Arabidopsis thaliana: one gene and its partner. The protein of the gene in region 1 interacts with the protein of each later gene in a pairwise test. Each region holds a gene or a part of one and is shown on either strand. Other genes may lie near its edges. The genes, in order: EMF2 and CLF.

Region 1 (15,931 bases):
ACATTAAACCAAATTAACCAAACATTTTTTTTTTACCAGACTATTATGTAATGCATATTTAAAAACTAATTACGTCAGGTGAAATTAAAAAAAAAAAGGTATGACGCCGTCAAAGGACCCGGTAGTGGACCCAACGGTGCATCAACGGAATCCGGATCTACCCAATTGTATCTTAATTTTAGATCCGAACCCGAAACGAACAGATTCTTTTATTGGATTAATTAGTGAAAAATAAATAAATAGGCTTTCTTTTCTTACACGTCACCGACCGACCACTCCTGTCTTTGACATTCTCCTCCACTGCTTTAAATGAAAGAAACAGAGCACTGTTCCGATTCTTTTCATTTCTCCATTGAAATTACAATTCAAAGCTTTCTTCTTTTGTACGTTATTCCATTAATCCAATTTGAAACTTTCAAAATTTTCCCTTTTCTCTGGCTTTCGAGTTTTTCTCGATTCCTTTCTCCATTTTATTCTTTCCCCTCTTCTTCAACATCTCAATATAAACCCTAATTTTGATTCTAGTTTCTCAATTGGTGTGAATTCTCAGAAATTCAGAAAACCCTAATTTCGTTTTTTTCTCTGTTCGGTTTTTTTTTGATTGATTCGATTTCCTTTGATTCTCCGATGAGGATTTATCTGATTTTCCTCGTGGTGGTTTCCTTATTTACCTCCGCGTTTTCCGATTCGATTCTCGAGTACCCGTCGGAAATCGAGAGTCGACACAAGAAAGCTGCCGAAGAAGATGTCAATTTGCATTGTACGACCTGGAGATTCGCGGCGGAGATGAACAATCTCGCGCCGTGGAAAACAATCCCGGTGGAATGTGCCGATTACGTGAAGGACTATGTGATGGGTAAAGGCTACCTCACCGATTTGGAGAGAGTCTCTGAAGAAGCTTTGATCTTCGCGAGAAGCATCGAATTCTCCGGCGATGGCAAAGATATTTGGATTTTCGATATCGATGAGACTCTCTTATCCAATCTTCCTTATTACATTGATCATGGTTTTGGGTACATTCTCTCAAAACTTTTACTTTACACATTTTTATCTCAAACTTGGTTTGGTTTGTGTATGTTCATGTGATTCTTTTGCTAGAGAAACTCATAAAAGAGGACAATTGGTTATAGAAAATGCTTGACTTTGTTGATTATGTTTTGGGAATTTTGAAGGTTGGAGCTTTTTGATCATTCGGAGTTTGATAAGTGGGTAGAGAGAGGAGTGGCACCAGCCATAGCACCAAGCTTGAAGCTTTACCAAAGAGTGTTAGATTTGGGATACAAAGTTTTCTTGCTTACAGGGAGGAAAGAGAGTCACAGGCTTGTCACTGTTGAAAATCTCATCAATGCTGGTTTCCAGAACTGGGACAAGCTTATTCTCAGGTATAATTATAAACAAATGCAGCTTCTTAGGTTGTAACTATACATGCTTCTAGGTCATGCCATGAGTTTTTTCGTTATGCAATGGTTGATGCCGGTGGCATATAGTTTGATAAGAAACATGGGTAGCTCTTTGATTTTAAGTCATGCAATGAGTTTGTTCGTTATGCAATGGTTGATGATGCTGGTGGATCATATAGAATTCTGGATCTCTGCAAATGGTTTGATAAGATATCTTAGACATATCATCATCAGTTTTGAACATCCTTTGTTTATTCGTTTTGCTTTGCCCTCGTGTCTGTGTGTGATGTGCAGATCTCCAGAGGAACAGCACAAAATGGCGACACTATACAAATCTGAGAAGAGAGATGAGATGGTGAAAGAGGGATATAGGATTAGAGGCAATTCAGGTGATCAATGGAGTGATTTGTTGGGTACCTCCATGTCTCAACGATCTTTCAAACTCGCAAATCCAATGTATTATATCCCCTGAAGGGCTTTATTTGACGACCTATATAAAACATTTCAAAAATCGTATATACTTACTATTAGAGCAATCAAAGTGTTTTTAAAGTTGGATTGCCTTTGCTTGTAACTTGTCAAGCTACTAAATGTACTAATAACAGAGAATGCTCTGTTTTATACAGAGTAGATAGTATATAGTACTACTCGTTTTAACTTCTTTTTTTCACAATGTATTCGTGATCATCTTTAGTTACACTAAACTCTAGTAAGCCAAAATTAAAACTCTTTAGTTTCTTTTTTGTTGACATCAAATAATAAGAAGTGCATTAAGAGAAAAAGTCACATTCATTATCGTTGCATACTCCAAAAGAACACATGTTCAAGCCTTGTGGCACATTCATCACAAACTAGCAGTAAGAGCCTTAACGAAAACATGTTGTTTAGGGACTGTAAGCACATGATCAAACCACTCAACCTTTCCCCAAAAACTAAAATTTAGGTGCCTTTTAAGCGCAATCACGGCACACCAAATCATCATCTCATCTCTGCCACCAGCCCCACAAGAAGGGCGATCCTCTTCCCATAAAACCGCCATCTTTCCACCATAATCAGCCAATCTAACAAACATATTCTCAGGTAAACTAGGTAGTCCTAACAAACCTTTCAATATTCTCCACATTCTTAACTTAGTATCATACCATCTGAACACTCCGCGATGAATATAGAACAAAACATTATTTATCTCGCAAAAAGAATATGAAGCCCTCATACCAAACATCGTTGGTATAGCCTTGTCCCATCTACCTTCCTTGTAAGCATACACCACTCCGTGAGTCGTCTCCACGTGAAACTTTCCATCAATACATGCGCTTTTGGAGTAAAAAATGCCTTTTGTCTTGCTGCATGGGATGGGCTCAGGATGCCACACTTGTGTTTTTGTGTCGAACACCTCGAACAAGTTCTTACAGGAGTTGGAATCGCCATTGCCATCTTTGTAGCTTCCTGCTACATATATCTTTCTGTCAAGGACGCTAGCAGAATGTGACATCAGCTCCACCCGCAAGCTTGGAGCCTCGCGCCACATGTGAGACTGGGAATCCAGAATCGAGACACTAGACGAGGAGGGTCCTAGGTAAATGGATCCACCAATGTTGTAGATATCAGAACCAACCGCCACGAGACTTGAAAAGTTTGCAGGAGGAGAATGGGGAATTGGCACAGTAGCCAAAACATACCCATTTGACTTCTTCTTCTTACTGGTGTCATTGGTTAGGGTTCCGTCAGGTTTCCGACAGAGAGTGAACCAATGTGTGTTAGGGCCAGAATCAAAATGAAAGCACACGTAGAGACAACTCTCAGTGTGGCCTAAGAGTGATCGGGCTTTGTAAAGGTCCGGTGAAGCTAGTAGAGATCGGAAGCTCTTGGAGACAAGAGAGAGAGTCGGATAGTACAATCTTGAGATGCGTGCGAAGATGCTCAATAGCAAATCATCGGGAAGTGACGACATGACTCTACTGTTTAAGTTCAATATGACACATAAGTTTTTCCTCTTTTTGTTTTCAATACTTTAGAAACAGATAAGAAAATAAAAAATTGAGAAAAGAGCATGTATAATTACTTGAGCAGCAATCTAGGGTTTTTGCCTCGGATCGGATCGAAGCAAAGGTAGATTATTTGTTGATCTCAAAGCGGATGCTACAGGAAGAGCGATTTGATCCTTCGCTTCCTAGGGATGATAGATCAAGAGCGCATTGAGTAAAGCATTTCAGTTCATGTGGATAAAATAGATATCACAGGGGTTTTTGTTCCCATAGATTGTTTCCTTTAGGGTTTGTAGTGACTTCTTCACAGGCCCCGGCCCACATGGCCTAAAGATTTTCTAAATCTATTCTAAATATTGGTGATTGACAGAACAATGATGAGACTGAGATTGATATCCCTGAAGATTTGCTGATAATTGAGCACGAACATCTAGAGAAGAAATAGTAAAGGAAGATTATGGAGACTCATTTGCAAAAGAGAGTGATCATAATTTCTTTGAAGAGAGAGATCGAGCTATTCTAAATCCAACAAACCAAGATGTTAATATGATTAACGAGTAATTAATATGCTATATCACATTATATCAGATAACAACGTTTTTTTCTTCTAATACCCACATTAGTTTATGAATTTTATAGGAATTGATTAGCTATATATTGCCATGTGTAGAATTGAGACGTCGGTTACAAACACAACTGATATTATGGTTTACTCTCAAGAGTTTCTGAATAGCATCAAATTGTTTAGATTGACTAACAACAGTTTGCGACTGAAGATTGGTGGCCCTCTCATGTTACTTGGAAATATTGATCATAAAATTGATCTATGCAATGGCACTAGGTTATATATCATTCAGTTGGCTAATCATGTTGTTAAGACTAGATTTATAATATATAATAGTGTTAGTGCTAAAGTACTCTTGATCCATACGATGCTTGTCTCTCAACATAAGCAAGGTTCCCTTTTTGAGAAAGTTTTTGATTTTGCAATCTAAAAAGGTGAGCTTGTTTCTTCTACCAAAACTAATATTTTTTCATGGACATATGTTGATGCATGTTTCCAGAGTAACATCCATGTCTGGTTTCCAGTGTACAAAGTCAATTAGTATTTCAAGTTTTCAACCATATGATATCCTAAATGAGTAAGGAACATGTATAAAGCATTACTCGAAGAACAAGCGTCAAAGATAAGCCAATGTACACATTTATAATTAAAAAAAAAAAAAAAAAAGATGAGGACAAATTCATGCATAAATATGCTCCTCTTTCTCTTAAAACACCAAAAGTAGTTAAATGAGAACCCAAAACTCTTCTTCTCTTGTCTTTCTTTGTTTTTCTACTTAAATTAATGATTTCTTGGGTTTTCAAATTTGGAGCTGTTCGAGAAAGGTATTACAGTTGTTCATGGTTCGGGCATCAAGAAGACCGTGGTTCCACAGTTTCACCATAAACACTCTCCAGCACCTACACAAAAAAAGCTCACTTTTATCAACAAAACCGCTTTCTTCTCCGATACACTGGAAAAAACAATGGAAGAAATGAGAGTTGAATTACCAAATCAAGTGCGGTGTTCGAACCATGATGGGTCCGTGCAATCTTGAGAATGCCTCGCATGCCCATGGAATGTGACCATCTGCTAATACTCTGCAAAGGGTCCAAAACCACTGTCAAGGTAATGCTTATAATGAGTCAGAGAACATGGATGCGTATGTTATCTAATTGTTCAGTTTTTTTTTTTTAACCAGAAGAACTCATGCAGGAATTATCCACAACCTTTACATGCGCGACTCTAAATGTTTATACTGGAAAACTCCACGTGACATGTACTGAAAAGAGATAAGACATACCGCTGCTTCCTCACAAACGAGTTCCACATGTGCATCATCTGTTTCTCATCTTTAGTCACATCAACGAAATCATCGAGCATCTGAAAGAATAGTAATAGGAAATAACGTTATTCACTATATGGAGAATCAGACAAACTATGTTAGAATCAACTATGTTAGAATCGAGTACAAACGGACACACTTCGTCTTTTAATGAGTGTTATATAAGCACTAATGATCTGGTTCTACTGTTCCATATCAAACCGTGAGGCTTGCTCACATATTTTCTATTGATCTCTGAACCATTACAATATTGCTCCTAACGTTTGCCCATGCCCAGTCTTCAATATTCCTTTCCCTTTCACATGAAACATATATCTACCCAACTACTGAGCTTTATTCTACCCAACTACTGATGCGGTGAAAATATTAAATTCAAAAACATACCCTTCTATCTTCAAAATCTGCCACATCATCATCAACTTCATCTTCACTATCCCGGTCCGAAAGTACTTGTTCTAGAGCCATGGGCTGCGATAGTACACATAGCAAAGTCAAAATCAATTGCAATCTTCAAAAGCAAGAGAGCTAAAGAAAAAAGATCACCTGAGCTCGATGAGAGTGGAAGAACTGTCTCTTCTGAAGGAGGCTTCGGCTGGAGGAGGAAAAAATTTGAAAAACTCACTCACATCATTTGGGATTAACAAGCTACTTGTTATAAAACTAGGACACAATTTTTCATGCATGAACCATATGTAGTTAAATATAAATTGAAGAAGAGGATAGAACGACAAAAGGAAGTCAAACATACTTCCTCAAGTCCGACCGTTCTATAGATATTTTCCTCGTTTTTGCAAACTGCAACATTGTACTTCCAGCTATCGACTGCACATAATCTGGATCCCCACATGATTGCACGTCTGCAGGACTCGTGCCAGGAGGAACTCTTTGACCAGACTCAGCACCCCCAATTCTTTCGTAATGCTTTCCAGGTGGTATTCGGCTCTTCTCACTTCTAACAGAATGAGCATCTGAAAGTAAGAATAAAAAGCTGTGCCAAATGATCCAACGTTGTTGCATGCAAAATTGCACATAACAAAGTAAAATACTCGTAAAATATACAACTAAGACAGGCTCTCATCACAAAAGAAGCCAATACTACAAATCCAATTAACTGTCATTTCAGTCAAACACATACCATCAGTCTTATCTAGCACCTCGCAACCTAATCCAAGATGAGGCCCTTGCCTTGAGCTCCGTACCTGACTCTTTTGCCTCCTCCGTCTGAATTTTTTGGAACTGTCACATATTGAAGAATTTTTATGGTCTCACACAGATGCTGGAAAGATAATAAAAGGCAACATATAGGCCAGATAACTTACGAAAAAAAGAAAGTTTGCTGCTTTGGGTCAACGTCATCCTCATTAACCTGAGCAGATTTTTTAATGAACATTAACATTTAGAAAACTGTGCTAAGAGTAATCATCAAATAGGAAAAACTACAAAGACATAGAATATATTGTAGAACCAACTACTTCAATTAGATTTGACACTCCTATATAATCCAGGACTTTATTCTACAGTCGAGCTTTGACGGTCTCATGGCCACAAAAAGTAAACAGAACAGCGATGTCATTTTGAGTTTATTCTCATCACGCTATTAAGGACAATAGCAAGGATCATAGTGTGACAAATAGCAACTAAAGATTCCAGTTCCCTTATTTAACCACACAAAAGTCAACAACCCATGGAGGATATTAGTTTAAATGAAAAATGAATTTGTTACAGCCTATAAGATATACAGCAGAGAAACTAATGAACATAAATCGAACAAACAAGATGTTCTAACCTTGGATATCATTGTCTCAGTCTTGAGGGAGACATTTACCGCCTGAAATTCTTCAGTTACCTAACCAAGTAAAGCAGATTAGTGGCACCCACAAAATAAAAAAAAAAGATCAAACAGGTTAACTGAATTTTAAAGCTACAAACCCAAAACTCGAAATTGAGGAGATCGTGGGTTGATGGCAAGTGATATCTCAGGCCCTACAACATGATTGGGAGAAAAAGAAAAGATTGCATCACTACAAAGACTAGTCACTACAGCTGTATCTTTGACTAAGAGGATGAATGAGAATGGAAATGAAAGTCCACCTTGAAACTGGCACATTTTACTAAGCAGAATGGACAAGAAAAGTCTTCAGTTACTGCAAGACACATAGCAAACATATACGTAACAGGTTAGGGTAACGGATGAAATATAGACACACATGGGTATGAAACAGGTTAAAATAATACTAGTTACCTTCAGTCTTCTGCAATTTGTTGTTATAGTATCTGTAGTTGAAAACTACATTTCCTGTTCTCAACCTATGCAATGAATGTAGTGGTATAGAGTCAACTTAACGAGATGGACATTTTTAGTTGTACGTAACGACTTGTATAATCCCCATAAAAGAGGAGGACAGTCACAATTCAAGAAAACTGCCAACTATATATTAAGGGAGATAGCAGACCGGCCAATATATTTTATACAATTACAAAAAATCATAATGAGATGAGGCAAGAAATCTGAGAGCGCAGAAGAAATTGCAGACTAAACTGAAGATTACCTGATAATTTGCAACAAGGAAGAGGAAGAGATGTCATTATATGAAAATGAACTATAAGGAGATTTTTCCGTTGACCCAACTTCTTCTGCAGATATGGTGACTTGCACTTGCTGCGGAGAGCTCTTCAAATAAGAAGTGTAAGAATTGTAAGAATATGATTACATGATATTTCAGAATAATGTATGGAAGTATAGCAAAGTGTGCAAAGTTACCGAGGTGAGTGGATTGCTGGGCACCTGAATCGAGACACACTTTTCCTCACTCATGGACTTTAGCTGCAGCAATGGACAAGTTATACCAGTAATATTTTCATTTAAATAATCAAGACTGAAAACTAATGGCAAAAATAAAATTCACAGTAGCAATTACTTCCAATTTACTTTTTCAAATAACAAAAGAAGTTCAATACACAGTCCTTATTTCAATACAGGGAGCATAAAGTCATAGAACAAGAGGAAGACTTGGGCAATAGTGTTTACCTTTATGAAGCAAGGCTGCATTTCAACAAGAGAGACTGTGTCTACTCTCTGTCCCAAGTCCATGTTTGGTGATTTCTGCCACGACGCATACAGTGATTGCAGAGGTATTTTGCTCCATAAACAATGTCCTCCTATATTTCCTGGCAGAAAAAAACGCTTCCGATGGTAAGAGTTAATGAAAAAAAAGACTTTCAGAAACTCTTATAATTGGAGTCAAAGAATCCCTAATTCTTTTGTTAATAAATAGGACTGAGATTTTCCATACTATTACATGGAAAATTGGTAATGCCCAAAGATACATAACTTTTCAATATTAGAATGTTATATCAATGAAGAAATGGAAGTACCTGAATGAATCTTGCCTGAATCAATGCCAAATTGAGAATTTTGCGCACCAGCTACAAGAAGAAAATTATGTGATCAGTTTATCTGAATACTGTACATATATAAATGTCTTTATATAATTTTGTACACAGTCAGTCTTAATCACCAAAGCTGATAAACAAGATAGCGAGTGATCCTGATTTTGCCTCCAATGCGAGTCTATTCATATCAGGGAGAAGAAAGTTGGCTTGGGCTTGACTAACTCCATCAACCCCCAATCCACCAGTTAGGATACATGCTCGACTGAACCTATATACTGCAGAATACTATAATTTGAGAATTTCAAGAAAAATGTTAGCAAAGAATAGGTAAGTTACAAATAATAAAGATCAATGCAAATCTGTCTGAGGTTCAAATGCATACCTCAGCGACAGGCTTAGGAGAAACGAGTCTTGCCAACAAAATATACAGAGGGAATAATTTTTGAGTTTGTACCCCAGCATCTATAGCGCCCGAGAGGAATACAGTCATTTGTATTCTGCAAAGCAGTAATATATATTGATAACTATCCGAAAACTTAGAAAGCATTCAAGTCCGGAATGAATTACTAAGGTATAGTGTAATAGTTACCCAAAAGTAATGGAGATTCTGAACAGAGAAAGGAAGGAAAAAAAAAAAGCTTACCTCCTTTTATGTTTTGCCTCAATCTTATAATGCAAACATCGCTGAAGAAACAAGGGCTACAGGGGAGACAGAGAGAGAGAAATGATTAGGATGGACTGCATAGCAAGACAACACATACTTGCTTATACCAAATGAAGTCAACTCAAACTACATTTTCATGTAAATTTTCATTGTCAAAACTCAAAAGTAAACCAATACATGTGATATATCAGCTGAGCTCATAAGTCATAACTAAACATATTCTGTCTAAAAAAGGTAGGAAGGAAGACATACATTCCTAATAGCACGGCGTTGAATGATATTGTAGAGTTCAACAGGCTTGCAATAGGCAGCCAAGCTCTCTTCAGCAGCAATCTCCTCCTCTTCCGAAATACGCAGACGGGAGTCTTCATGGCACATCTGCTCTGTGCTTCTTGAACAACTGTGATTTCACCATCATACGCAACCAAAATTGTAAGCAACCCCACAACAAAATAAAAATTTGATAAGTTTGAATTACTAGGATTCCTCAGCTTATACATAAGAGAAACAGTATAAAGTTACACAATGCTGCAGAGACATTATAGAAGCATTAGGTTGTTCATGAGACTTACGAAGAGGTTTCACGACTAACAAGAGGAATGCCTGGCATTCTCGCTACGAGATCCTAGAGTACAATACCATACCCAGAATCAGTGCATACACCATCACAGATTACAAATTTGCTTCAGCTACAAAAGCTGCAACAAAAATCGTAAAGAAGAAAAACCCAATAAATCCCACAACAGCAGAAACGGGTATCAAGCGATTAGCAGGAAAAAAAATGTAAACTTGAACAGTGGTGACCTTCAAAATCCAGCAAAGACTCGGAGTTGAGCTAATTAGATAAAGAACAGATTCAACAAATTGACAGAGATCTCGAAATCAAGGAGAAGGTGAAGATTAGGATGGAGATGGAACAGTTAACTCAGAAGAAAAAAAAAACCCTAATTGTGAGAAATTATCTTCACGCGAATACAGAGGTGACTTTGACAGCTTGAGAGAGAGAAAGAGAGAGATGAAGCGTTTCGAAGAGTAATAAAAAGTGTAAATTGATGATATTGTTGAGGAGACCGTAAATATTTTTGCTCTTGAGAAAATAAGCGTAAACCATGTCCTAAATCAGTAAAATTCGGTGCACAATAAAATCTAATTAAAACTCTTTTCACTAATTGAAACTAAATTCCCCAATGGCCATGAGAAAGCATAATTTCTTAACTATTCAATATAAGCCACTTGAGTTCAAATTAGAGATCCACCAAAAAAATGGATGACAAAGTAGTCATAGTTCCTTATCCCCCTAAAATGATAATGGTATAAACAAACATATTTTATGGTATCATCAACTCTTACTATCTAAAATCGACCATCAGTTTCGTGTCACCAATATCGGTAAAATGTGTTTGTTTTTGCATAACCAAGGTTTTCCGTTCCTAATAACGGCGTAAGTTAGCACTGTAATTGAATATCTGGCCAAATAGACGCTAACGTGGACGACTACCTAGCCCCATCATCAATCACACAGAAAAGGAGTCGGAGAGGGTTTTTCGCCTAGGGTTTTAGAATTCGATCTTACTCATTCAAATTTCTCCCTTCAGATTTATTCATCTGTTGAGTAAAACCACAAGGGTTTCTCTCTAATGTTGCCCAGATTAGCTCGAGTCGTCACTCAAACCTCAAAGCTTCGATCTTTGACCACTAATGGATCGATGAAAAATCTCTCCTTTTTCTCCCGATATGGGTACGCGACTGTTGCGCCGGCGGCAGCTGATCCTCCGTCGCAGAAGGATTTCCCCAGTAAATCTCCGGTATGATCTTAAAGTGGTAACATTTTGTTTACTCAGATTAAAGATCTCGTTTTCAGAAGTAGCTGTTAATGCGTAGTTGTTGTGAATGTTTAGGTCTCACTATAGTATTCGAACCTAAGCTCAATTTGATTCTCTCTGTTTCTAGTTTCATCGAATGCGGGACTAAAGTGACTTCTGCCTCCCCATTGTACCTCATTTAGGATTCATCCCTTTTTTTCTGTTGGAGTTTCATTAGTATGTTTGTGATTTAGATTCATGCTCTTTTAGTCAACTGCTTCTGGACAATCGTGTCTTCTTTGATGAAAAGGATTTGTTCTATGTTTGACAGATAAACTTGGATAAGATGTTTTGGTCAAAGCCATGTTCATTGGCTCTGCCTAAAGACTCTCCTCTCAGAATTGATGAACCAGACTATGTAGGGATTCGTCGTTTCATACTAAAGATGATGATGTTCTATAGCAAACAGAGCATGTCTATCCGTGGGGCTAACGTGATCTACAAGCGGATCATTGCACAAGTTGATAAACCTGCAATATATGATGGTACTTTATTTGGTTTCCAACACAACTTTTGCAAACAGAGTTATGTATTTACATTTTGTGCTTTGTTTATATATCGGGTGCTCTGTCTCTGCTGCAGTATTCAACTTGGAGAAAACATTCAAAATAACGTATTCGCTGCTTGTCCTTCATATGTGGCTTGTTTTACGCCGCTTGAAGGAAGATGGACAGGAAGGTGTTGACCTTGGTCAATACGTCTATGAGATCTACAATCATGATGTTGAACTCAGGGTATCTAAAGCCGGGGTACGTGCTAGACTTGGTTTTGCTTTAATATAGTTTCGAAGAGATATCTTAGTTTCTTAGATTCCTTAAAATAAGATGGTCTTAATCTTTCTTGAAATTACAGGTTAACTTGCTGCTAGCCAAGTGGATGAAGGAGTTGGAGAGAATATTTTATGGAAATGTTGTTGCCTATGATGCTGCGCTACTTCCGGAAGCTAAACCAAATGACCTACAAATCAAATTATGGAGGTAAAGCTTCTATAACGTCATGCTTTATGCAATGAGTTCGGTAGAGATTACACAGCTAAGTAGCTCGGCTTGAATTTATATACAATATGGCAGCCATAGATAACGGATTTGTCTCAGAACCTTATATGCAATTGGATTGTAGGAACGTATTTTCTGATGATGGAACAACAACACCTGATAACACAGATTTAAAAACAGCACAGGCATGATTTTCTCCTCTCTATCTCTCTCGCAAACACACACACATTGACATACTAGTTTAGGCATTGTGTACCAAACTTGTTAAGACATTGCTTGTGTGTTTCAGGCAATGGCAAGATATGTCCGGAGAGAACTTGGTTCTCTTTCTTTAACAGGTACCTATGACGCTATAGTTGGAATGCCTCATTATGTTACTCGCATTTGCATTTCGAATAGACATGCCTTTTCTTATATGGTTCTTTTTTGTCATACACAGATAAAGAGTCCATATTCTCCGGCAATTTCTCCTTCACCCCTTTGGAGAACAAGCCCCTGTGATTTGAATGAAATTAGAAGAAGCTGTGGTGCTTTGCGAATCAATCTTTCATTTGTTTCTCTGTTTCATTTGATTTACTTATATCAAACCAAAGAAACCTACACAAGGGAATGTGCTAGCTGTTAGCATCCAGATGATCATGAAAACAATGTGAAAGTGAATAAGATTACTGAATTAGAGCATTTACTGTCATTGGTATTTGGTACTTTAATTGGCTTACTAATGCTCAAAATCTTTTCTACAAGGCGATAGCCGATTGTAATTACTTATCTGCCATTCAACATTTTATGATCTTGTATTTGAAACAGTATTATAACTATAGTATGTTAGATCGTGGAATTCATCATCTTTATTAAATTCTTCTTTTTGTTGGTCTTTGAGGTTAGCACAACAAATGAATTGGTACCACATAATAGCAGCGCTTTTATAGAGAACAAATGTTCATGGTTAAAGATTTCTGCTAGCGTAGAAGGAGATTATGAAGATTTGTGTAATGTACCAATGACACTGTCTATATGAAGATTTCCGCTCGCATAGAAGGATCAAAACATTACTCATACAACAACAACAAGATTACATCATACATTGCATGTTATTATATATCACACATTACAACATAAACGTTGAAAATAAAAACAAAGAGAAGAGATCTAACGATGGATGACAATTTAATGTGGAAATCGTTTTTAGCCTTTGAATTTTAAGAAACTTGTTGGTGTTGGACTCCAATGTTGTGCTGCCCATACTTAGTATCCTGCACTCTGCTTCCAACCTTCATCCGAGCATTCTCTATCTTATCCGATCCAGATCCCGTCATGTGCCTAAATACAATGACCATATTCTCCAATATTCAAACTTTCTATAAAATATAACGTGCATTGCAAGCTCGGTTTGAAACGGTAGGTCACATTTTGTGTGGGTCGTAAATTACCTGTAGAGCCAAGAGAAGGCGGTAATGGCGGCTATTCCAAAGCCACCGGATGCAAGGAATCCGGTAATGATGAGAGCAACGGTTACCACTGCTGGAACCAAGACGGGGCTGAAGATGACGAGGAGAGGAGTAGCCACCGTGAGTGCGATGACTGTTCCAGCGAGTGTTAAGCCGGAGAGGACAAGTAGGGATCCACCGGCTGTGACAGCGGTTGCTGCCTTCACCATCTGCCTGGCCTTCGGATGGGCCTCTTGGGTACTGTCTCGGCTTATCATCTCGTGATGGGTTCTTGTTTGGTCCGCCATTGGTTCTTTTTATTATAATATATCCCTCCAACACAAATAGTAGAAATTAGCAGAGAAAAGGTAGTGATGTGTTTTCGGAGTAAGTAATGATGATTTATGAAGGAGAGGAGCGCTGGTGGGGCTCGCTTGAGCCATGTCACGTGTCAAAAGTGTCTTCATGCAGCCGTTGCATGTGTTAATGAGTAGAGATGGGTCTTTTTTGCGACACGTACGTCTGGGTCTTTTTTTTTTTTGCTATAGTACACAACATGGACCGGGACATAAGTCACGTGATGGACGTTATTATCGATCGGTCGTGATGTTATGGTCACTCCCATTCCCCCACTCTATAGAACTATAGAAGCAAAGAATTAAAAGGAAGTTCGGAATCCACATCCATTAAGCCAATCGGCCCAAAACAACTTGGCTCACAGAGAATAGTATTAGTAGCTCTTCAACTCAAAGGTGTGAATAGTTAAGATTGTTGTGAATTAGTAGCTCTTCGCCTCAAAGGTGTGAACGGTAAAACTTAAAGGTGTGAATAGTAAACAGAGAATAGTTAAGATTGTTGTGAAAAAGAAAAGCATTAAAAGTGTGAATGGTAAAACTTTTGGCTTTCATAACTTTAAAATTAAGCTGGAGCTTTTAAAGTTTTTTCTCAAGAGTCTCAGAGAAAGTATCATTTGAAATCATGTGGATTTACTATTTTGTTATACAGACTCATACTACAAATTTAGATTTGGACATTTGACACACAAAAATACATTTCTTGAGAAGCTTATTTCATACACACTTTTGGATGGCCATTTCTTTTACAGTCGTTGCCAGTCTCTGGAACACCTTCAGGTTATGTCCTACTTTTCCCTGGGATAGACAAATCGGGTCACCACCACCTTTCACTTTCAGCACATAAATAATCGAAAACTCTCGAAAATCGATTAGGCTTACCTCATTCAGTAATGCAAGCCTATCTATGGTAGGTGACAATTTGCCACAGAGATCTGTAACTTCCTGTTGTATATGGGATTTTGAACCATATGATCCCCTTTCATTTGAACTAACGGATCTGCATATGTGAAGTGTTTAGCATAGTATCTTAGAGCAAACCCGTAGATTTCCAAACTTTTAAGATATCAATTGTTGAAGATAAAGTGGCATACCTATCTTGGAGATGGATCAGGATAATATTTAGTACATGCTCGGCAAGTTGCAGTAACAAGGTGATTAACTGGTCCCTGTTACCCACGATTTGGCACATTTCAACCATAGCTATGTATCTCCTGAGGTAAGTAACAACAGAGCCACGAACAAATAAAAACAGTGGTCAAAACGTCTTACTAATCACTGATAGAAAAAATCTGGAAAAATTCTATGTTAATACCCATTTCTGCTTTGGCATATGCACGCATGAGCGAGCAGAAGAAAGAAATTCACTAACCTTTTATGTATGTTGTCGGACGGTGTGACATATTCTTGGGAATCACAGATCTTGATGATCGCATCTACATCTTGTCTTGAGAGCTCGTTTATGTCTCTAATCTGCCAATCATACATGCAACTTCGAATGTAAAAAAAAAAAAAAAGAGTTTGAAACATGTAAATGGTAGGAATTAGAATAATATACCTTATGAAGAAGTAAGGACTTCTTCTCTGCTGCTCTCTCGAGGGAATCAGTCACATGCGAAAGAAGAGATGCAAGCAACAGCAATGTTGGTTGGCGTAGTTTAGTGGAACTATCAAGAGAATCATCTGAAACCTGGGACAAGGGGCATATGAGTATTTACTTGTAGTTCATTCAAACAACTGAATAATGTCAACGTGGAATGAAGAAACAGAGGGAAATAACTGGTAGAGTACCTGTAACCTCAGAGAATTTTTGGTCACCAGAAAATATAAGTAAGAAGTCAAGCTGAATCGCAACTGAGACAATTTGAGCTCTGATCCCTTCTGTCCACCAGATGAGAAACAAAAAAGAGAAACCCATCGAATATAAGAATTCAAGGATGTGATGAAAAGGTGCCACTAACAC
Region 2 (16,052 bases), on another chromosome or scaffold:
ACAACATTACAATTTAAAACTCCAAACCATCACCCCAAAACTAGGCAAAGTTTCTGATTTTTTAATTAAAACATCTTCAAACCAATTCACTTTTTTTTTGCGGGAAATAGATTGATAAAGATCCAAATTCACTCGATTAAATGGGTCTAAGTGTCAAATCAAAGTATATTAGCCCACCTTTTCGACCACACAAAACAACTGAAGTCCCCAGAGAGTGACACGTCACGAAGCAAAAATCCATGAATCAAAACCTAAAGTCACCGTCGCGCACAGAAGGGTCTCCTTTTCCGATCCTCTTCAGAAGCACCAGACACAAGAAACCAAAAAAGGCTTGTTTCACAAGAAACCAATAAAAGTCTTGTGACACAAGAAACCAATAAAAGTCTTGTGACACAAGAAACCAATCACGTGGGTTCTCAAAGCCCTAATGCAGCTGGAAAAAGATAGATAAACCGTTACAAACATCGATTAACTTAATATAAATGATTCTCCACGGAAGAGTTTAATACGTAAGACCTGTCTTTGCGTAGTTTGATTGATCAAAGCGACGTCTTTGAATTCTTAGTATATATATGTGTATGACAAAGCTTCAATAACTCGAACAAATTAACATTAAAGCAAAGCCAAATTAAGCATTAGCAAGGACAAGAATGTTGTCTCTTCTCTCTACTCTAGTAGCCCTCCCCTTTCTGTTTCTCATCCCTTGTCTCTTTATCACAAGCTATATATGTTTCCCTGTGTTCTTGACAAAACTCCTTGGACTCATCAAATTCAAAGCCGCTCGAGACGATGATGACAACGAGAAACGGTAGTTTACGGTTTTTTAATCATACTTTTAGTTTTTAGTAAGTTATGTTTGTGGAATGTTTTGTAAATCTATAATTTGTAAAATGTTTTGTACAAGAGTGACATCATATAAATGGTATTTTTGAAAGTCTCCCGAGAAGAGAATCATAATTTAATTTCAATTTTATAATCACTAGTTAATATCTAGTTATCAACAGAAATTATACTACACAAGTACACATAGAGAGAGCCTTTTGTTAGAATTATCCCACATCGGAAGAATTTTTGGACAATATATATGTGTTTTAGCAATAATTTTTTGGTTGTATAGTGATGAGGCAACTTGTGTTGTCCGAGAGGAGGAGCTACAAAGAGAGCTGATGCCGAGACACGTGTCATTCATACTAGATGGGAACCGGAGATGGGCCAAACGAGACGGATTGACGACGGCACAAGGCCACGAGGCTGGAACTAAACGAATTATAGAGATAGCCGAGGTCTGCTTCGAGTTGGGTATTCATACAGTCTCAGCTTTTGCTTTCTCCACAGAGAATTGGGGAAGAGACAAGGTGTGACATTTTACATTGTAGATCTCACAAGTAGATTATATTCTCATACAATTATAGACACTAACAAATTTTGTTGTTATTATATAAGTTTGAGGTTAAGTGCTTAATGTCTTTGTTCAACCACTACCTCAAGTCCAACATTCAATACTTTCAAAGGTATATATACAAATTCGATTGTGATTCTTTTGTTTTGACATATTCTCTCTGGTTATTCATTACCAAGAATTATCTTGTTGTTACAGAAAGGAAGTTCGCGTTTCTGTTATCGGGAATAAAACGAAGATCCCTGAATCTCTCCTCAAAGAAATCCATGAGATAGAGGAAGCTACCAAGGCTACAAGAATAAGCATCTCATCATGGCAGTAGATTACAGCGGGAAATTTGATATCATGCATGCTTGCAAGAGTCTTGTGAAGAAATCAGAAAAAGGGTTGATCCGAGAGGAAGATGTAGACGAGGCATTGATCGAGAGAGAGCTTCTAACGAATTGTAGTGACTTCCCAAGTCCTGATTTAATGATTAGGACAAGTGGAGAACAAAGGATTAGTAACTTCTTCTTGTGGCAACTTGCTTATACCGAGCTTTTCTACTCGCCGGTATTGTGGCCTGATTTCGATAAGGATAAGCTTCTAGAGGCCCTCGCTTCGTATCAGGGCAGGGAAAGACGATTTGGTTGTCGCGTGTGATCCACCTTTCATCCTCTTTATTCATCTATAATTTCTATCAAACTACTTGCTCTTTGTTTCACGTTTCATTGTAATATATGTCTTTAAATCGGATAAAATCAGTGATGTCTTTGCTTCTCCTTCTACGCATGTATCAGTTTGTTACTAAAAATCAATATCTTGCTATACAAGAAAATATCTCAGAAACCTAGTTCTACAGCACTAAAATTGAAAATCAGTCTTTGCGGGAAATAGTTTGGGCTTTAAAGGTCCATGTCCACTCGATTTAATGGGCCTAGCTGTCAAATCAATAGCCCACCTTATCGACAACGCAAAAAAATAACTGAAGACCCCAAAATTGACACGTCACGAAGCAAATAAACCAAATTCCCATGAATCAAAAAAATCATCAGCGACCACTGTGACTCCACTTGAGCGCCGGAGCCGCCGCCGTCGCCGTCGCGTCGGAACTCCATTTTCACGTTCCTCTTCAAACACACCGACGCGTAACCAGTTTCGTCCATGGCCGTTGTACTTTCCTACTGCAAACCTTCGCCTCCTCTTCGTCGATTCCATCGTCGCTGCGTGAGTTTTTCTTTGGCTATGATGTTATCTATGGCTTACTCTTACGAATTCGTAGCTATACAATTAGACTTTTGGATTCAGATAATTCAATCTCATCATCATCTTCATCATCTCTCTGTAGGGAAATTTGTGGAAGAAAGAAAATGTTAGGAGTTCAAGACGATCATCTTCGGTTACTGCTATGTTTTGGAAGTCCAATAAGCCTGCGGAAGTAAAGGAATTCGATATATCACTTAGAGATTACACTCTAACTGAATCAAACATTGAGGTATTTCAATCTCTTTGTTGATTATTTTTTATGTAAACAGCTTTCAGACGCTGTTAGCTACGAACTTTTCGTGCCAAATTATTCGCTTTAACATTTCAATTTTCTTTGTTGATTTTAGTTGATAAATCATCAGTTCTCTAATAGTGGTTTCGTTTCGAGTTTAGGAAGCTTTGGAAAACAAGCCGAAGCAAAAGGTGATTTCACTATCAGTTGTTTCTTCAATATTTGAGATACCACAAGCTGAATGGGATGCATGTGCGTTGGATTCTTCTCAACCTGAAAGCTATAATCCATTTCTAAGTTATGGATTTCTTTCCAGTTTAGAAGATACTGGTTGTGCCGTTCGGGTTAGTGAAGCAATTTCCTTTATTCTTCAACCGAAAGAAGCAAGCATAGATGTTTGTCTTTCTTATGGGAATTTCTATCTGCAAAATGTTATTAGGAAACAGGTTGGATGCCATTACACATTGTTGCAAAGGATGAATGTGAGAGTATTTTGGGTGTTGTTCCACTTTATCTCAAAAGCCATTCTTATGGCGAATTTGTTTTTGATCATTCTTGGGCTGATGCATACCGAAGTTTTGGCGGAAGATATTATCCTAAACTTCAGTGTTGTGTTCCTTTCACCCCAGTTACTGGTCCTAGGATTCTTATCCGTGATAATCCTTGCAAAGAGCAAGTTTTTGATGCTATTGTTTCTGCCATGACGGAATTGGCATCAAAGGTATGATCTCTATATGAAATCTATCTGTGTTATAGATAAAAACAAGACTTGGAACAGGATTAAACTTGTGATCTCATGGTATACAGAACTAAGGTTCTACTATTTATTAGCTATCCTTATTACTATAGGAACAATCTCACATTTTACTTTCTTGAAGCTGTAATGGTTCTCTTGTGTTGAGTTCTGCTTTCAACATATGCTATCTGCTGACTGCTGACAGACTAGTTGTATTCTGTGGGCTTTGGCAGTTACAAGTTTCATCTTTGCACATTACATTTCCGTCTGGAGCTGAGTGGGACAAATTGAAAGAGAAAGGCTTCTCACAAAGGATTGGAATGCAGTACCACTGGAAAAATCGTGATTATAAAAAGTAATTGAAGTTAGTTGCCAGTATATTAGTTCTTAACAATGACTGGATTGGAAGTAGTTGCTATTATATTTTGTTCATTTTTTTTTTTATCTCTAATACTTCAGTTTTGACGAGTTCTTGATGGACATGAAGCAAAGCAAAAGGAAAAATATCCGACAGGAACGCAAAAAGGTTTGTTTAGTTTCCTCTTTTCATATCATCCTCATTGTGCAATTTATTCTTGTCTCTTAAGTTTCTTTGCTCATGTGAATAGTAAAATGGAATGGTTACTCTTTTTTTCTTCCCATACAACTTTTGAATTGTGGCCTTATTTCGTTATCCGTTCCTTGTGGCGTTTTTCAAGCACGCTGCTGACTTCTAATGCTCCTTTTCTCTAGTAGATTGGTACCCAGAATTTGAAAATGAGACGGCTACAAGGAGATGATATAAAGGTATGTAACTGAACTGCCACGAGACGAATTTGTTGTAATTGATTATGCCTGGCGGTATCTTTTCATTTTAATGGCTATAAATAATCAACCATGGGATATCAATCTGCTACCAGAGGTTAGAACTGATGGCACATGCTATAAAGGACATTATGGGGCTTTTATATTAATATGTGTCTTAAAAATTTGATTCATCGTTTGTGCCTAATGTTTTTGCAGGCTAGGCACTGGGATTCCTTCTATGATTTCTACAGGAACACAACTGATAACAAGTTTAGTCTTTATCTTTGAGACATTTTTGTTTTTCTTATCATTAGTACACATTATGTGTCTTTGTGCATAATAAACATACTTACATTCAATTACCTGTCATCGTCAAGTGTATGCATTACCTGTGTTTGTCCTTTCACATGCTTAACGATTTCCGGCTAATTTTAGATGGGGCACACCTTATCTCACAAGGGATTTCTTTCACGACATGGCATCGAAGTTGGGAGACAAGGTATTGCTTGTTTTAGCTGAAGAAAACGAGGAACCTGTTGCAGGAGCATTGAATCTCATTGGAGGAGATACTCTATTTGGGAGACTATGGGGATGTCGTCCCGACTCCTATTATCCTAGTCTCCATTTTGAAGCATGCTATTACCAGGTTGGTCTTGTTGTTTCAAAGTCTCAAGAGTTTTCGCCGAGACATACTTGATTAAAACTCACAAACTGATAATGGGATTCATAGGCAATTGAAGCAGCGATAGAGCTTAATCTGAAAACGGTAGAAGCTGGAGCGCAGGGTGAGCATAAGATTCAGCGAGGCTACCTTCCCGTTAAAACATATAGTTGCCATTACATATTCGATGAAGGTTTCAGGCAAGCCATAGACGAGTTTTTAGTGCGCGAATCAAATCAGGTATGTTTTGAAGTTATGGTGTTAAAAGAGTATATAAACATAGCTATGTAATTGGATCATCGACTTAAACAATGTAACTTTGTGCATCGCAGATGGATTATGTCATCAGACTGATGCATGAAGATGGACCCTTCAAAGAGAAAATAGAATAGATGCATTTATATCTTGGTTATCGCAAACATTCTTGTATATCTTAATTCTTAGGTTTATGCGTCAATGTACATTTTAATTTGGCTGCTCATGTTCGTTTTCTGATTTGGTTTTGTTACTTTCTGATCACCAAATGTACACTGACGCCTAATTTAATTTATATAGATTGTGATGTGTGAGGAATACCACATTGATGTCAGCTCCAAAGCTCACCAAGTTTCTCATCTGTAATTTAAAAACTTTAACCCGAGTCTCAGTACAATAAAATGATAATCCAGAAATGTAAAACGAAAAAAGGAAATTTTAATCCAACGAATACAATTTTTCTTTAGACTCAGCAAAATGTATGAATTTGTTTCAATGTGTTCTTCCGTGTGGAGAGTAATGAGGATTAAAGCGTTCTTCCACCTGTAACCAAAGAATTGACAAAAAAATGGTTGTTTCTTTTGTTGCTAAGCAAGCTTCTTGGGTCTACCAACAGAAGGTGTAACATTTTCGTCTTTCTTAGAACCAGGAGCTTCAGGTTTTTTGGCCCAAGCTGGAGCTCGATCTGGCTCATACCGGTAATCGTAAAATAGTTCTTCTCCAGCCAGTATCCTCTCTTTTGCGAAGATCCCCACCCTGTGATCTCCAGCAACCATGATGACCTTGAACAGATACAAAGATTTTGAGGAAAAACAGAACATACCCATCATGCGAAAACCGTATCTTTAACTTGCACTTTTCACATTTTTACCTTTGCGTAACAGTTAGGTTCAGGAGAATGGTTGGCGAATTTCAGTTTATCTCCTTTCCTGTAAGCATCTAGCACAAACTGCAGCACAATCCAAAAACATTTTAAAATTTGAAGACAACCTAGAGACTAGAGAGAAAGAGAGTTGGGACATTTCAAAGCTGCTGAGACGTGCCTGATCGTTTAGATTGAAGAGAAAAGAGCAGTTCTCGCGATCGTATATCTTCCCGCGTTTATCTGCCTCTTTATGTGAGATCAGCTCTCCTGTGTATTCCCCAAGGTATTCATGCTTACTTACACTGTTCTGTAAGAAGGAAAAATAATTGTTCTTAAGGCAAGTTCATACTCTAAACATAGATTAATCTTTGAAGGACTTATCAGTTTAACAAATTTTGAACCTAATATACCTTTAAGAAAGCTCCCCAACCAGAAACATCAGATATTCCAAGTAAAACCTGAAATTAACATAAAAAAGAGGAGGAAATTTAGCCATTTCATGTTTAATCATTTGATTGCAGATCATAGATATTTAGTTAACAAGGCTAAGTATTTACCCTTTGTTGTTGTTTCAGGAGCAATTTCATATTCCTGCACTCATAATTATCGCCTCTTTGGCTTGGGACCCCAAGCGAACCATCCCCACCACTACACATTCAAATTCATTCAGACACAGTATAAGTGCATCTGGAACTACTAAAAAAAAAGTTGCATTTCTTGAGCATTTTCTAAGAAACCAATTAGGATGGATTTGCATCCCCAATAAGACTTACATGACCCAGCAGTTTCTACAAACATCTGGGTCACATTCCCGATCTGCAGCAAAGCATGGACACTGGCGGCTTCGACACTGACTTTTGGCACAATGACAACCTCTAAACCTATTCTTGCAGCTCTTTGGGCAACTACACAGAAAATATAGTTTGTTGGTAATGAGATTCAAAGCTAAGAAATACAGATGTGGATAATCATAGATTACATTACCCGCAGTACTTCTCGCAGCAAGTCCCGTTTAGCAAACAAGGACATTCCTTCCCACAAGCAATTTTGCAGTTACATGGATTAAACTGACGGCAGGGCTGGTCTTTCTTCTCAGTAATTCTTTTCCTAATTGAATGATATGCAGCAGACTTCCAGGTATACTTCAAGCGCCGCACTTTGCCTCTCCTACGTAGAAATCTTGACCTTCTCCTCACTTGGTTATTAACCTGGTTAGTCCAGAAACTAAAGCATTAAATCCGAAGAGAAATAAATCGATTTTATCAGGAATTTGTAAACAAAGTCAAAAAGGTTTAGTGTTAATATACCATATTTCCATTGATATCGAACTTGGAAGAGCCATCAGGATTCAATCCATCACCTCCAAAGAAGGAAGCTTTATTTTCCGAGCACGTCATGTATTGGAAGACCTCCCAACATGATTTGAAACCACTCAAAAGATTTCTAGCAATCAAGCAGCTGCAAAGAAACAAAGAATCCATATGACTATATTCCACAAATTGAAAAACCTGAAGCAGAATGATAATTTAGCAGTAGCTAAATACATCAAAATTACCCACCTATTCATTCCAAAAATCTCAACACCTTTATCAAAAAGGCTTTTCTCAAGTGGTCTCCACAACTTATTTGTAGCCAATCTTCCTCGAGATACAGTTTCACCCATAAACTCTTCTTTCCTTAGACTTTCATCACTACCCGGCGCATCAAGCTCTGACGCAACCTCATTTGACTGGCAAACAGGAACGTCATCCTTCACAGAATTATTGGAGACTTCGGCAGGAGTGCCATTCTTCCTTGACTTCCCGGAGTTCCCAGATTTTACATGCTTCTGAGAAGAGGAAGTAGCATCTTCATTATCTTTATGTTTTGCATCGCTGGGTGAACAACTTCCACTGGCGATGGAATCACTATCCGAGGCTTCTGTCTTCTTCTGCCTCTTCTGAGTCTTACGAGGAACTCGCTCAGCAACTCGGTTTTTGTTCCTCTTACGACCTACTCGTCTCCCACTACCTTTCACCTTTGGCGATGATGAAACTTTATCGGAATTGGTATCCTGCTGTAGTCCATTCTCTGAGTCACTTGTTTCTAGTGCGCACTTTTCATTAGACGATGCACTTTCACTTGGGAAGGTCTTTGGTTTTCTCCCATTAAGTTTGCTGGAGAACTTCGTGGGTGTGGTTTTAGTACCTGCACCATCTGATGAAGTGCCAGTTTTACCTTCAATGGTGCCATATCCCGGAAATCTTCCAGACTTGAGAAGCTGATAAATTGAAAACAACGCTTTTTGTTAAACCAGTCTTTCTAGGAGATGAGCTTAGCAACGAGAAAATAACAAATTTACCGTTTTATAGCAGTTTGCACCACAGGTTAAATTTTCATCTACAGGAGGACACCATGGAGCTGGTTTCTCAGCCTAAAAATCCATAAAATTAGATAAGTAACACTAAAGTTATAGTAAGATTTTTTCGGTTGGCACTAAACTCACCGGAAAAATGAGATCCTGTGAACACCCATGAAGCCGGCAATCAAATACCTGCATAGATGCATACAAAAGTTAAAAAGAGACCAATGTTTGCTCGATCATTAAGCAATAACCCATGAAACATTAGCCTGAGAAAATCAAATGGACTAACAAGGCATCTACGGCAGAACAGGTTATCGAAAGAATCTAATGCTCCTTCCATATCTTTGTTGAGAAGGGAGCTCTCTGCTTGATTATCGCCACTCTCGGATACTTCTTTTTCCTTCATAAGCACTCCATGTCTTGCCTGTATAAGATGGTCGGTGTTCATATCTCTGCAAAAAGCCAATTGGGAAAGGGCTGGAACAATACTAATTGGATTTCCTTAAACAATGCATCCCTCACTCTGTTTTGAAATCCTACAACTGAAGTGCTTGATTCTAAAGAAAATAGCACATGATAGTTCACACAAGCAATAGGCAGAGAAAAAAGTTGTTGATACCTTGATTTCACTAGTACTTCTAGACAAGAAACTTGCTAGTTCCGCCAGGACTGAGTCTGAAAGACCTAGTTGCTCAAGGGTCATGCTGAAGAAACGAAGGGAAATTTAATCCAACAATATAAGTGAGAACAAACCAGCATAACAGTTGACATAGCAGACAAGAGATTCACACTAAGAGACCAAAATGCAAGAATGATTAAACTCCTGCCATTTAATACTAACCGAATAATATAATCTTCAGGCTCCAAAAAATCTCTTTTTTCTTCTTCGTCGTCAATGGCCTCCTCTTCACTATCACTGCAGATAAGCGCTTCCCCGCCAGTTTGATCATAATAAATTCTCCTTCGACCCACTACAGACTGGTCTTCAGTCATTCTTTGATTTCTGCATCATTTCAAGAGTGATTATAACGTTAAGATACTATGCGAGGGGCTTACATTTCAACTTGAATATTTTCAAGTACTCTTGCGACATTAATGTCAACATACCTGTCCAGAAAAACCCATGTGGTATAAGGTGACAAACGTTTGATATCAGGCATTTTGATAGGACGTAAGGAAATTTTGACAGGGACACTAGATCCTTGAACCATTCCTGAACTGGCAGGTCCATCTTCTACATATCTGTTGTTATTACTTTCATCGATTCCGCTTTTCATACCTGGCGAATCTCTTTGCCTCTTAACTAAAAGATCACTGCCATCTTTACAGCTACCTCCTCGTTCCATAGAAGACCTCATAAAACTTTGAGTAATAGCAAACAAATTCTTCTTGTTTTCATCAATCCTTTTCTGGTTACAAACACATCAATTTCTAACAATCAGATTCAGAAACACATAAAACATACAAAAAAAAAACTAAACAAAAATAGCAACCTTTATTGATATACACCTATCAGCTGCAAGCTTCTTCTTTAGCGATTCTATTACTTCTGATACTTCCTTAGAAGCTGGACCTCTCTCCTCCGCCTGAAACATCAAAATGAGGTTCCTTTACACAGTGTTCAATGAGAGAAACTATCAATTGCAGCAAAAATGGTTCCTAAACGAACCCAAAAACAACTTCATATCTCACAATCCAGCAATCTCTAGATCTAAAAACGAGCATATAGAGAAGCTCAAACAAGCCATCGAGTTTCGTTCTCTTCACTCAAACTAAAGCAAATCAAAGTCAATGCCTCAATAGCACAAAGAAAAAAGTTCCATTTTTAGAAAGTAAGAAAAAAAAAAAAAACGATTGACGCACCGGAGAGTCTTTGGGTGGCTCCGATCTGGTGGCCGAAGAAGAAGGCGAAGCTTCTGACGCCATTGTCAAGAAACCAGATCGGAACCGAAACAAATGCGGGTCCGGGTTAAGATCCGGGTCGCGAAATCTGAAATGTTGGAGGAGAGAAGGAATTTGGCGGGTCGTTATAAACCCTAAAAATTTATCTTCAATTTTGTTTTTATTTTGGATCTTTTATCTTCAAATCCAAAAAAAATTTCGTTTTACTTTTAAAGAACATTGTTTACGAATTGGGAAGCGTGTAAATTAGAAACTTTTTCCAATTATTTAAAAAAAAAAAAGTTGGTGGGAAAATAGCGACGTGGCAGCTCGATTTGAATTATCTACTGTACATCTCCGGCGACGGTTTACCGGAATATCACGTAGCTCGAGACAACGAATCTACTAGAGTTCGAGACTGGTTCTATATCAACTGAACAAAACAAACACGAACGTTGCTGGGCTCTGATTTAATGGGCTCTTAAACCCTATTTGTTTGGGCTTTATTTTTTGTTTTTTTTTTCAGCAACAGCTTTTCGAAGTCTCTCTGTAATCTCATCGGACGAGAAACAGTACGGCGATCGGAAAACTCTGAGATGCATCGCGGCGCGGCGGTTTTCGGACGGAAACGTAGACTGATACTTCTCCATGGCAGCAGAAACTTCGCCAGATCCTTTTGCTCTTCTTCTTCACTATCTGGTGAGAGGGATTCACATCTTCGCTATTTCATTTGCAACTTCTGGAAGCTGTGCGATGGCTTGAGATTGGTTTATGATTCTTACGGTGCCGAATTTGAACAATCAGTGAATCGAAGTTAACGATTGATTATGTGCAGAACATGAATGTTTCATTAAGGATATAGCAAAAGCTCAGCCTCCTAAGCATCTGATGCAGCTGCTGAATATATTCACAGCTAGAGGTAAATCAATCTTACACTGACTTGCTGATCGTATTTTCGAAGTTTTTGTTTGTTAACTTGCGGAATGGTGACTTTTGCTTGTGGTAATGACATTGGATCAGGTAAATCCATAGTTTCTCCTGGTGCCAAGCAAGGCTTGTTACCTCTTACTATTCCGTTGGTGAAAATGAGCCCGGGTATGATTCTGGACTTGTACATAAGTTCTTATCTGAGGTTGTAACACTTTCATATTAAGTTTGTATGACTTTCCTTTTTCAGGTTCTTCAATTGCTCTATTACGGTGGCCAACAGCTCCTTCTAGGTTAGATCCTCCTTGCTTTTTTAATATCGTCATGTTTCTCTTCTTTTGTAGCTTATCATTGTTTGTGGTGTTTGCAGTATGGAGATGCCTGTGGTGGAAGTTCAGAAACATGGGGTTTGGTTTCTAGCTAATAATGTAATGAGTCTTTTTATAGCATTACTGATGCGTTAATTTAGGGTTATTTTTGTTGAGTGTTCATTCTCATATCTGACTTCATTGGCCAACATTCAGGTTGATCAGTTCATTCACAGAATATTGGTGGAAGAAGATGTTTCCAAACCCGAAGAATGCAGCCAAGAAATCTTCAATGCTGCTGGTGAAGCTGGGAAGAAACTTTACAGTAAGGGTGACTTTGCCAGTTCAAGACTGATGGATTTAGATGCCTATCTTTTAAGAAAGGTACATATATTGAGCCTGTTAATATCAGAATCTTTTCTGCACATGGATACTGGGATATGATTATTAGCTTTGTAATTCAGGTTGGATTGTTTCCAGATTCTCTTGAACGAAAAGTTATTCGGCATATCGAGAATGGAGACCATGTAAGGCTAGTAATTATATCTATCCTGTTGTAGTTGACGTGTTTTCTCTTTTTAAACTATCTTCACGTGCTAATACAAGGTTTCAGCTTTGGTGGCTACCGAGTTTTATACAAAGAGAGGGAACTTTCCCGGATTTGCCCGGCCATTCGCTTTCAACGCAAAAGTTTTACTGAAGTTCGTATGATCCTTTCTCATCATCCCTCTTTCTCCCTTGTGAACGACCCCCAGGTAAATGCTTACGTCCTTTCTAGAAAACTCTAAGACCTCTATATATTTTGTAGACTTGGGCGTAACTTAGAAGCGAAAGACGCAGCTAGGGGTGCTTTGAAATCTTCGTGGTGGACCTTAGGATGCAGATATGAGGTACAATTCCTTGACTATCGACAAGCAATTTTGGTAATCGAAAAGAGAAGGGAAAAAAGTGTTGAACATATGAAACGGGTTCCCAGGAAATTGCTCAAATAGCAGAGTGGGGAGAAGAGCAAATTGCGCAGTATAAGGAGAGAGTTACAGGAGAAGGAAAACAACGGGATATAGACAGGGGAAAGCCAATGGCTCAGGTTTGTTCTTTGCCTGTATTCATTATCAGATACTCATATCATGCTTATGGATACAAAGGCTTGAAACAAAACTTGTAATTCTCAGGCATCTTTGGACGAGGCTGCGTTCTTACTGAATCTAGCGTCACTTGAAGGGACATGGGACGAATCACTGGAACGGGTTGCTCAGTGCTACAAGGAAGCTGGACTTAACGACATCGCCAAGTTTGTTCTGTACAGAGATTGAGAAGTCTCTTTTAAAGGCCACAATTTGTTCTTTTGAGACCTGAGATGACATTATATCAAATGATCTTATGCATTTAGTGTCTACGTTGAAGATTTACATTAACCCTGCTAAAGATTCATTGGGTCAAGATTACTGATTGTATCCTTTCTGAGACTAAAAGTGGAATAAAGCAGAATGATCATCTTATAGAGTAATACTCTACGTGGAGATTATATATATACTGCCAAAAAAATCTAGAAAATGACAGTTTAGTTTGCATAGTTTGGGTCTTTGGGACCATATAAAGAAACAGGATTAAGGTATTAGATTATAGTCTAGATGACAGATGCCACCATCTTCTTAGTTGGCAAATGGATTAGGGACCTTCTTGCTCTTACCTTTCTTATTTCTCCCCAACAGCTTTCTCCAGAGGCTCTTAACTCCGCCGGTCTTTTTCTGAGGAACAATGGCAAAGCAGTTTGAGTCGGAGCCTTTGCTTTTGTCTGAGAGAAGAATCTGTTCTAGTGCCTCAATGGTTTCATTGTAAACAGAGCTGTTTCCTCCCTTTCCGTTTTTATCTGCTGCTTGCGGTTTCTGATCCTTGGATTCCCCGGTGTTGTGATCTTCTGCCTTCATCTGATCCAAAAGAGATGATCTCTGGCTGGTCAATCTCTTCTCTGGTTTAGTAGTCTCATGTGAAGGTTGTGCATCAGGTAGGTTGTTCGATTTGTCTGTAACGTCGTACATGAGTGTTTCTGAAAGTAAAGCTGTTTCCTTTGAGTTAGTCAATGCCTTGAGCTGCTTTCCCAGGTTTAGAATCGTCTCTTGACACTCGGCCAACTTTTCTGAAGCAGCAGCGATTTCCAATTCCTGAATCATCAAACACATAAAACAGATTGGTCTTGGACAAAAACAACTCTCAATGTAATGGTATCGATTTTCTTCTGCTTGTAACTTACGGTTCGCATGTTTTGTTTTTCCTCCAGCTTGAGCTCGTTCTCTGAAGCACTGCAACAAGAAAACCATTGGATGCATCAGAGATAAAATGTATGATTTTGCTGACATGAAGTCTTTAAGCATTCATATTTACCTCGCTGTTTTGTCATTTGCCTCTTCTTCAACCGTTTTGCGCGACAAGTTTTGATTACCAGGTTTGTCTTCAATCAACTGATCTTTGCAAGCCAAAAAGGAAACATCTTCCGTTCTAAGCTTCTCTGCTTCTGAAACCTGACGAAATATTCCAATATCAACTTCGCTTCCGCTCCGTGATTCATCCCACTCGAACTGCTTCTTAATCTCATCTCTCATGGTTGAAACATCTTGAAGAGAAAAACAGTGGTTCACCATCCATTCCAACACAGAGCTTAGCTCTTGAGCAAACTTCTTCATGTCTGCTTTTCTGTCTAATAGATCGTAACAAGCTTGAAGAAATCGCTGCAATACACTACTTAGCTCTGTAGTTTTCCATTGCAAGACGCGAGCAGTGTAACCTGAAAGCCTTTCTGATTCTCTGTTGGACACATGCCTCTCATCTTTAAGACTGACTCCCTCGATAACGTCAATGATTCTGTGAATTGATTTGCTGATATTACACTCCATATCCAGTCTATCCTCCACAGTAAGAGTCTTAGTCTCCTGATGGTTTGTAGAAAAGCTTGAATGGTTTACACTTGACAGAGCTTTTCTGATATCTTCAAGTACTTCATCAGTGTTTCTCTGCGTGATATGCTTATGCTCCATTACCGCTTTCAAGACTATATGAAGAGATTGAGGTAACGAATCTGACTTGATATCATCTTTGGGAGATGCATCAGGATTCAATGAATAAACTGTTCCAGAAGTTTTAGTTGCTTCTGATGAATTCTCATTAGATTCGTTCTCTACCGGACCAGTAGCTGAAATAGAATCAGAAGAACAAATAGGAGAACTTCCAGGTCGGTTATCGATTGTACTAGCAACCATTGCAAGCTTCTCCATTTCAGCAAAATCATCCATTAGTTTCATCTCTGCAGCTTTAGGGGTTCCAACCAAACTCGTGCCCATTTCCTTCTTGTTCTTGAAATTGTCCAACTCTGAAAGTAAAGCAGAAGCCCAGGAATCGGCACAGCTAACTTTATCATCATTGTCAAACTCTGTTACGGATGCAAGAGAGACTTCATGTGACACATTGCTACTCCTGCTTGGCTCAATGTTTGTACCTCTAGAAGATTCTTCAAGATGAGACTCGAATTCTAGTAGTCTAGACGCTGTTCGAGAATACATATTTCTCGAGAACTGAAGCTCACTGACTTTCTTGTTTAAGGCTTCCCTTAGAGTTTTGTTCTCTTCTTCCAGTAAGCATAATTGTTCAGTAAGGTTATTGATTTTTTCGGAATCAATCATCGGACTATGAGGGCTTCCATTGACCCTTCTCCTTCCCAACATCTCTACTTCATTGCTCATTTTAGAAAGAGCAGCGGGTCCTGGTAACCGTTTCCTGACCAGAACCCGTAACCTTTGACACTCTGATTCTAACTTTGCAACTTTCTTCACATTCTCTAAGTGCAGTTTATGCGATGCTTCAGCAGTTCGACGGCTAAACTCTCTCTCTTCATTCCGAAGCTCGAGCTCTTTCTCCAGCACTCGAACTTCATATCTCAATGAAACGTTTTCTTTCTCTTTCGACTCTAAACTACTCACCAAAGAATTGAAATCAACCTCTATACGGTCCCTCTCTCTGTTTAAATCTTCAACAGTTTTGTTCTTTGCTAACAAAGCCTTTGAGAGTTGAGCATTCTCGCCTTCTGCTTCAGCAAGCCTCTTACCACTACCTGCCAATTCCGTCTTTATAACAATCAATCGCCGTTCGTACTCCTGTGATGCTTTTGTCAAAGCATCATGCATCCTTCGCTCCTGCTCCTCACGAACAAAACGAAGCTGCTGCACACATTCTTTTAGACCAGCATCCGTGTGACTCGACCTTTCCTCACTCCTGTGTTTTTCATTCAAAGCTTCATCAAGTTTCTTTTTGAGAGATGCTACTTCAGCTTTTGTCTTCTCCCAGCCTGTTAACACAAAACGCAAATGGAACAGGAAGCCACATGAGACCGTGAAGAGCACCAAAATCGAGGAAAATAAGGTT

The links.
Region 2: the proteins of EMF2 (region 1) and CLF interact in binary tests that used the Arabidopsis thaliana proteins (3 or more experiments, as listed by UniProt).

The regions. Positions count from the first base shown.
Region 1 is NC_003076.8:20,818,163-20,834,093, reverse strand, and holds EMF2 (VEFS-Box of polycomb protein), read right to left. Parts: upstream 10,451-15,931; 5' UTR 10,136-10,450; exon of another isoform or gene 10,030-10,135; 5' UTR 9,942-10,029; coding exon 9,904-9,941; intron 9,732-9,903; coding exon 9,584-9,731; intron 9,367-9,583; coding exon 9,311-9,366; intron 9,165-9,310; coding exon 9,050-9,164; intron 8,953-9,049; coding exon 8,793-8,952; intron 8,701-8,792; coding exon 8,650-8,700; intron 8,443-8,649; coding exon 8,303-8,442; intron 8,099-8,302; coding exon 8,036-8,098; intron 7,946-8,035; coding exon 7,824-7,945; intron 7,582-7,823; coding exon 7,517-7,581; intron 7,419-7,516; coding exon 7,366-7,418; intron 7,258-7,365; coding exon 7,204-7,257; intron 7,121-7,203; coding exon 7,061-7,120; intron 6,641-7,060; coding exon 6,594-6,640; intron 6,511-6,593; coding exon 6,410-6,510; intron 6,243-6,409; coding exon 6,023-6,242; intron 5,867-6,022; coding exon 5,818-5,866; intron 5,743-5,817; coding exon 5,659-5,742; intron 5,313-5,658; and 7 more. Other genes in the region: AT5G51260 (HAD superfamily, subfamily IIIB acid phosphatase), read left to right, coding at 628-1,013, 1,173-1,382, 1,695-1,872; AT5G51250 (Galactose oxidase/kelch repeat superfamily protein), read right to left, coding at 2,245-3,351; AT5G51220 (ubiquinol-cytochrome C chaperone family protein), read left to right, coding at 10,969-11,136, 11,465-11,678, 11,776-11,942, 12,046-12,170, 12,313-12,373, 12,478-12,526, 12,628-12,689; OLEO3 (oleosin3), read right to left, coding at 13,388-13,508, 13,619-13,923; EMB3142 (nuclear pore complex protein (DUF3414)), read right to left, coding at 14,686-14,766, 14,851-14,968, 15,063-15,182, 15,341-15,441, 15,527-15,658, 15,760-15,849. UniProt on the Arabidopsis thaliana protein: Polycomb group (PcG) protein. Involved in flowering processes by repressing unknown target genes and preventing reproductive development.
Region 2 is NC_003071.7:9,949,967-9,966,018, reverse strand, and holds CLF (SET domain-containing protein), read right to left. Parts: upstream 10,928-16,052; 5' UTR 10,450-10,927; coding exon 10,387-10,449; intron 10,110-10,386; coding exon 10,017-10,109; intron 9,933-10,016; coding exon 9,631-9,932; intron 9,527-9,630; coding exon 9,365-9,526; intron 9,228-9,364; coding exon 9,143-9,227; intron 9,006-9,142; exon of another isoform or gene 8,972-9,005; coding exon of another isoform or gene 8,948-8,971; coding exon 8,813-8,947; intron 8,713-8,812; coding exon 8,665-8,712; intron 8,593-8,664; coding exon 8,521-8,592; intron 8,440-8,520; coding exon 7,739-8,439; intron 7,638-7,738; coding exon 7,487-7,637; intron 7,388-7,486; coding exon 7,164-7,387; intron 7,085-7,163; coding exon 6,953-7,084; intron 6,828-6,952; coding exon 6,737-6,827; intron 6,638-6,736; coding exon 6,590-6,637; intron 6,487-6,589; coding exon 6,358-6,486; intron 6,264-6,357; coding exon 6,186-6,263; intron 6,097-6,185; coding exon 5,902-6,096; 3' UTR 5,633-5,901; downstream 1-5,632. Other genes in the region: AT2G23400 (Undecaprenyl pyrophosphate synthetase family protein), read left to right, coding at 651-808, 1,118-1,355, 1,444-1,511, 1,598-1,717, 1,762-2,041; AT2G23390 (acyl-CoA), read left to right, coding at 2,543-2,605, 2,727-2,873, 3,038-3,220, 3,316-3,597, 3,846-3,967, 4,072-4,138, 4,348-4,398, 4,615-4,667 and 3 more; AT2G23370 (cyclin delta-3), read left to right, coding at 11,001-11,103, 11,240-11,323, 11,425-11,499, 11,582-11,624, 11,702-11,759, 11,856-12,023, 12,104-12,166, 12,246-12,340 and 3 more; AT2G23360 (filament-like protein (DUF869)), read right to left, coding at 13,292-13,801, 13,891-13,939, 14,022-15,975. UniProt on the Arabidopsis thaliana protein: Polycomb group (PcG) protein. Catalytic subunit of some PcG multiprotein complex, which methylates 'Lys-27' of histone H3, leading to transcriptional repression of the affected target genes, mainly abscisic acid (ABA) responsive elements.